Xenopus tropicalis: one gene and its partner. The protein of the gene in region 1 purifies or fractionates together with the protein of each later gene. This does not show direct contact. Links are inferred from orthologs where the notes say so. Each region holds a gene or a part of one and is shown on either strand. Other genes may lie near its edges.

Region 1 (3,652 bases):
ACAACATTCTCGCACAAAGAACATCATCTCTCAGGGCTGACAGATGGAGGGGGGTCTGACCATCCTCCAGTCTGCCTAAGTTCGTGTCGGCCCCCCTCTGCAGGAACATTCGGCAGTAGGAGTGATTGCTTTTTATAACAGCATAGCGCAGCAGGAACCCGTTTTGAATATCAATATTGGCATTGTGGTCCAGGAGAATCTTTACGCAGCTAGAGCGCTCCCGGATTATGGCAAGTTGCAGAGGAGTTGTGCCTTTGTCGCTCAGGGGATCAACCTCAGCTTTGAACTCAAGTAGCAGCTTAACAAAAGAGTCCCTGCCGTAGTGAGCAGCCACGTGCAATGGCGTCCAACCATCATTGCTCTTAGCGTTTATTATATCACTGCGATACTCCGATTCAAGCATGAGGCGGGCTATCCGTGCTCGTCCGTGCATAGCGGCATAATGCAGTGCTGTAAAACCACCAATCAAATCTTTCACTGTGGGGTCGGCTGCATAAAATAAAACAAAAAGAATAAAACTGCAAGTTCGTATTAAAAAAAAAAGTCAGAAGAAATCCCAAGCAAAACCATAATAACAAAATGAACAGCAGGTGGCACTGTTGTATCAAATTTATTATAATAATAGCTAAAACTGCTAATATCTTAAAAACTTGAAATACAAAAAATAACTGTAAATTGCAGGAGTGCTTGGAAGACAACTTTACATTAATTGGTTTTCAGAGTTTTTTTGTTATTCTATTTTTAAAGATATGGCATAGGATAGGCAACAAGAGAACAACAACATGAAAAGAGAAATAACAAAAACATAAAATACAGATTTATATGTGGATTACATAAAACCTGTGTTGGACTTGGGTCACATGGGTCATTGTGACAAGTGCTTCAGGAAGAGAATTGTGCGCAATGTGGTCTGTCCTTCATCTAGATGCACCCTGAATGGGGGTGACCATACACGGACCGATTCTAGCTGCCGACATTGGTCCTTTAGACCGATCCAGCGGCTTATCAGCCCGTCTAAGAGATCGCCCAGATCTCACTCAGGGAGGTTTGGTTTTTATGTCGGATTGGCAACTGTGCCTATACCCGACATTCTAATTCAATAGCTTGGCCCCAGGGCCAAACAATCTAATAAACCCGATATCACCCAACTCGTAGGTGGGGATATTGGAAGATTGTGAATGTAAACGAAATGTCAACCCCAAAAAAATGTTTTGCCCAATAAAAAAAAACATAATTCTAAGCAACTTTGCAATATCAATTAAAAATTTTTAGTGCTATAAAAGTTATCTGTAAATGTAATTGCTACAGAAAGCAGAATTTGATGAACTCCTGGTTGTTACTTTTTAAACAATGTTGCAAGTGCCAGGCTCCTCCAGCTAGACAGGTCTCTTAAATCTGCTGACGTTTGTTAGATTGTTTCAAACGCCACAGCCGCCAGGGCAGAGAATAGAAAGGACAGGCAAACACTGCTTTTAATAGCAATTATATATACAAATAACTCAAAAACCATTACAAATATGTCATAAATGTATATTGCAAAGTTGATTAGAATTAAGTTTTCTTTTATTAGACAAAACATTTTTGGGGTTGACATGTCCTTTACGTCCAAACAAAGTGCATTGGAAATAGCAGAGTTTATATCAGTAAGGTTACAGATCAATGAAATAAGAACATATGAAGTGTACCTGCTCTGAGGCTGCATATAGTTAGGTATACTCCCGGCACAACACATTTCTTATAAAGAATGTAGCATGTATGTTTACTGTGGGGTTTAGAGCATTGGGTTTTGGAAGGTTGTGTTATAAACAATGCATTGTGCAGGGATATGTCGAAAATCATCACATGGGAATATGCTGAGGCTTTATATATACTTGATATTAATAATAAAATAAGCAGCCCTGGCCAGTTTCATAAATTCTCCTTTATCCCAGTAAAGGTTTATCCACATACACAATGTTTGTTTGGACAGGCACAGAGATTTGAGTGGTTGGGGTACAGGTAAATGCTCTAAAAACCTTAAAGAGATTCATATCAATCACTGACCATGTCAGCAGAAAAACAAACTATCCTTTCACCAACTATATTTTTGCTCTCCTGCCCCGAGCCCCAGTGCATCTATATGGAGGACAGATTGCACTCACCAGAATTCCCTTTGGAAGCACTTATTTCACATGGTCACTGCCTGCCTAAAACCAGGCAGAATGGTTCAAATATCCCTTGTACACATGAGCATGATTTCATCACATGGGGGATTGACAAGGGAAAGAGCAATTCTATTAGGTACCAATGTTTGCTGAAACTTTGGAAAAATAAACCAAATGGAAACTACATAGAAATATACTTGCTCCTAAAAGACACGTTGACTCTTGACATTTTAAGGCACCTCTCTGTTAAGGAAAACACAATGTTGCACTTGTTGCTCCTTTGCCCTGTATTGGCCATAACCTTTCCTTTTTGGTTATCTATTCCCCATAAGCACTTTTAAGCACTTTTTACACAAGGACATGAAGAAAAATGTAAACTGCAAATATAATAAACTTAGTGCCGTCTGCTGGTCAGTTTCCCAGCCTTGATATAGGCAGAAGAACATGTCAGAAGAAAAACAGAGAACTGTTCTAATGCTGCTCTGCTCATGTCTTTCCAAGAGATCAACATCAGAACAGTTCTACTGACCAGCAGGAAGTGCCGTTGTTACACAGTATTAGCAGGTTTCTTCATATCCTGGAATCATCAAAAATGCTTAGAAGTGCACTCTGAGTTCTTTTAAAGGTTACATTTCCTTTAATGTAACATTTTCTAACAATGTTTGCAGCCCCATGCTGAGATTAGTCACCCACCGATACATCTCTGCTCCCTGAAAAGCTTTTCCTCTGGCAATAGAGGGAATCACTGGTGAAAAGGCCTACACATGTCCATGCTGGAAAGGTTGAAGAAAAGTTGTGAAAATTCTGAATTTTTTGACTAATCGCATGAAAACTGCAACTTTTCTGAATTGTTGCACAAGAAACCAGCATAAAAAATCTGAAACCCTCTAAAGTTTTGAAACAAAAGAAGGATCCTCCAGGGAAGGGACATCTGCCATTGACTTCTACATGATCTGGGCAAGTTTTAGCTGGTGAATTGACAAATTCAGATTTTTAGCCGTTTTGATGCATAGTAAATCTCAGAAAAGTTGTGGCTTTTTTTCTGCGCCTTGTAGCGCTTAAAATACAAATGGAAAAAAAATCTGACAGTAAATGGTCCCTATAGAGTCTAACTGGATGTCATACAAGATTGATTGATTTCTCCTAAGAGCCAGAACTCAAGCTGCAGAAGATGAAATATTCTAGTACACGAGTTGTTGCAACGGGGCTTTCCACCCCAACATGTCTTTCTCACATCTCCACATTTTCTCTTCATTGCTTTCATTTTCTTCTTAAGAGAAAGCATGTGTAGGAACATCTGCCGATCAGCGGATTTCCTGTGGTCTGGCACGACAGGCGTAAGGATTTTAAGCACGCTCCTCTGAGGCCTGTCTCATTTCCAAGCAACAAATCATATATCAAGTGTCTCTTAGAACATTTTGTTTTATTTACAGGGAACACCCCCCGATCCACTGCAGAAATGGACAGCAGACAGCAAAAGCTGCTCTCTCATATCTAATGTACAACAA
Region 2 (3,652 bases), on another chromosome or scaffold:
TTTCTTTAACACTTTCATGTGTTAACCACAGGGGGCTAAGTCCAGTGACTTCCTTTTAACTCTAGCTGTACTAACTATACAACTGTGTACTCACAACAGCTGAACATTAAAGATGCCATACTGGCAGAATCAGTCCAACTATCATAAAAGTCTATGGTGGGGTATTTTTTTCTGCTTTACTCCCCCCTTCCTATGAGCTAGTAAATAGCACAGGGAGCAAAACGTGCCAGCACCTCTGCCCTAAATGTCAGTGTTGGACATGGCTCCCTTTGTGACTCCCATCTAATAGCCAGGACATACTGTACCTGTGTCCTTAATATCCTTAGCTGCACAATGCCTTCATTCTCTTCTTCTCGCATCCTTTCCGTGGTCAGCTGCAAGCGGCCGATTAAGTTGATCTTACCCCGTTTCTGAACCTTTCCATTTTTTCTAGGATTAGAACACACAGTCATGATGAAGTGATAAAACAGTAGCACTTAGTGATTCATTGGGAGCACCTTCCTGTCTAACTGTGCCAGATTGTGGGTAAAGGGAAGAGTGGGGGATTCCAATTATTGTGCTAGTGCAAAAGCACGTTTTACCACCACTTTCCTGGACATTCCCATTATAGGCCACAAATGACTGACAAAGCCAAAGGTAACATAAGGCCATGGAGCCACAAAGTCACCACTCAAGAGTTTCTGCTTGTAAGGGTTTGATCACATTTAGGGAGGGCTAGGCAGGAGATAAGGTTATGGCCAACCTGCCTATTGAAGCTGGCAATATTGGTCCCTTGGACTGATTCTGCAGCTTAAAAAATTCAGTCTGATTGGGGACCGCATCGGCTCGCCTATTCCAGTCATTATAATTCGATCGCTTGGCCCCAGGGCCAAACAACCAAATTAGCCTAAATTCCCCGATGTTGCCCATCCGTAGGTGGGGATATCGGGAGAAGAGCCACTCGCTTGGCGACCTTGCCAGGCGAGCAGATCTTTATGTGTATGGCCACCTTAAGAACAAGAGAAGCTTTTACAGAGCTGAACCTGGCAGATTGACACAGAAGCTAGGGGAAACAGTTTATAATGTACCTATGGATATCTGCATTAGACAAAATAAAGGTAAAGTTGCCCTGTAAATGAAAGCCGGAGCAGTGCAAGTAGAATGCTTATAGATCCACCCAAGGTGCACAGACATTCAGCAGTGTTTAGTGAAGCAGCTATTAAACAAGATACCAAGCAGCATTAAACATGTAAACATGACTTACATTAGGCTGAACTCCTGATTTACAGAGAAGAGGGTACCCTCTGTGAAGTCTTTTGGGGAATTTACCGTCGGTTCATAGGATAATACTTGGCGTTTCAGCTTTGGAAATGCTACAAGAGACTAAACAGAGAAAATGAAACAATTGTAAGCAGTTATGCCAAGGGCAACCCAAAATCTAGTCAGCCTTGGAGTGCCTCTGCCCCTATACAGTCTGCAATTTACTGAACAGGCCCCCAGGTGATTAAGAACCAAACACTTGGATCCCACATAGAACACGTACATGGCAATGATTTGGCTGGCTTACCATGCAACAACTCACAGCCATGCAGGTTCAGTTTAGCCAATGACACACACCGATACTAACACATTTACACTTACCCACAGAGTTCTCCTAAGCTCAGCATCAGGTAACTCTGTTGCCAGTTTAAGATTTTCAAAGCTGATTTTTTCTCTCGGCCTTTGGTTCCAAGCAAACAGAACTGCCAGCTGGAAAGTGGTAACTTCCAAGTCGTACTGGCCAACCTCATTCTTAAATGTTATCTGTAAAACAGTGGCGTGCCATCCAGTTCAACATTACAGGACTGGTCCATTATACAAAGAGAGAGAGAGATTCTGAAAAAGCACCAAAAACTTTGCAATAACAAATTACACCCTAATGATCTGGCTGACTACTTTGAGACTCAAATAAAATGTAACAGTAGTTGCCTGTCCTCAGGCTGCCTTTAGCCTGCTTCCTCCCAATCCCACAATTCCCTGCACATGTGATGTCAATAAGGAAAGGAAAATCACAGTGCAATGCATTGTGGGTTATGTAGTTCCTGCAAGCTGTGGAGAAGTTGTTACCATTTGTAACGTCAATGTTTTAGCCCCTCCTCCCCTGCCAGGATTTCAAATGATGCAGAAAGAAAGAACTTTTTTGCAGCTGGATTTGAACATAAAAAATTGAATTTATTCATAATTTTTAAAGGAACCGATTACAGTGATTTACTAGGAATTTCTGTGTTTTTTTTCTTTTTTTAAGTGCTTTATACATGGAAAGCCCTTAGCAACTCAATTCACTAATATGCCGTGCAGAGCAGATACTCACAATGCCATTGGACATAAGATGGTGCCAGTGAAGCTTTCTGCCGCTGTGGTTTTTCTTGTAAAACTCCTCTACTTCAGGAATGAGGTCCTCGAGCTCAGTGGGAAGGGACACAAATACCTTTTCCGAGCTCCGTGACCAAGCACCGGCATTCAAAATTTTAATATTCACAGAGTCAGCTGGCCATAATTAAAAAAAAAAAAAAAAGCAGGTAAATAAAATGCACTGTTGAAGAAGAAGATAGTTAATTAATTTACTCTATCCAGATAAATACCCCGTATAAAGAACTTTTAGTCCTAGTAAGGACTAGACATGTGAAAAGTGCCACACACTGTCAATTTAACAAAAAACCCCCAATACAAGTGCTTACCAGCCTGAAAATGAGGTGTTTTTGGTCCTGATTATGGAAGTGGAAGTAAGGGCAAAAAATAAACAATGGTCATATTTATAATGAGGGTGGGCTCAGCGAGTAGCACTTCGGCCTTACTGGGGTGGGGGCCTTATTTTGATTCCGGCTTGGGCACCATATTCTCCCCATGGGTTTCCTCCATTTATAGAAGGGCCACCACACCAGGATACCCAAGGGAAAATCTCATTTATCGACCCACCCCCCTTCCATGTCGCAACTCTCTCTCCCTTACTCAGCAAGTCTCTTTTTCTTAACATTCTCACCTATTTTCTGGTGCTGCCACTGATCTCTGCTCCACCATTCAGTCAATGGCACAGCTCCTCACTCAGCATACCTGACCCCCAGGGCTGAAGGTAGTGGAGGCAGCAGAGGTATATGCCTAGGGTTCTAGCTCCCCCTCTCAGCTGTGACCTAGGCACGTGCCCCTTCTGCCTACCCCTAGTTCTGGTTTCCTCCCACACCCACAAAAAAAAAAAAAAAAAAAAGAACAGGCAGGTCTTTTGGCTCCTGATAAAACTGATCCTAGTGTCCTAGGGGCATGGCCTTATATGAATGGTATAATCTCTGTAAAGCACTGCAGAAAAGTGTCAGCACAATATAAATACCAGGAAATAATAACAATTGTTTTAAACCCAATTCCAAACTTACCTGGCAGGGCTAATTTATTATTTTTATGCATTTCTTTGAAAGCCTGGTTTAAGTCTTCTGATACTTTGATGTCCTGGAACATTCTGGCTAGTTTATTTACATAATCAGCTGGCATGCCCACCTCCTAAAAGATATACACAACAGAACAAAGAAATGTAGTATGTTACACAGTGAAAGATTCTTGCCCTACAGATATTTACTTTACCAGCGACTAGCTACCTGCAATCAGTCTACTATGGGTTTCCCTAAACTTGCTCCATTTACAGTGC

Evidence for each region. The genes of interacting proteins can lie anywhere in the genome.
Region 2: the proteins of asb7 (region 1) and cul5 purify together in Homo sapiens (affinity purification with mass spectrometry; 6 studies listed by BioGRID and IntAct, counting the BioPlex papers as one, with this or other methods). This does not show direct contact. The link is inferred for Xenopus tropicalis from reciprocal best matches to the Homo sapiens genes ASB7 and CUL5.

The regions. Positions count from the first base shown.
Region 1 is NC_030679.2:115,577,090-115,580,741, reverse strand, and holds part of asb7 (ankyrin repeat and SOCS box protein 7), read right to left. Parts: intron 490-3,652; coding exon 1-489. UniProt on the Homo sapiens protein: Probable substrate-recognition component of a SCF-like ECS (Elongin-Cullin-SOCS-box protein) E3 ubiquitin-protein ligase complex which mediates the ubiquitination and subsequent proteasomal degradation of target proteins.
Region 2 is NC_030678.2:159,948,186-159,951,837, forward strand, and holds part of cul5 (cullin-5), read right to left. Parts: intron 3,508-3,652; coding exon 3,384-3,507; intron 2,506-3,383; coding exon 2,330-2,505; intron 1,783-2,329; coding exon 1,621-1,782; intron 1,363-1,620; coding exon 1,244-1,362; intron 430-1,243; coding exon 306-429; intron 1-305. UniProt on the Homo sapiens protein: Core component of multiple cullin-5-RING E3 ubiquitin-protein ligase complexes (ECS complexes, also named CRL5 complexes), which mediate the ubiquitination and subsequent proteasomal degradation of target proteins.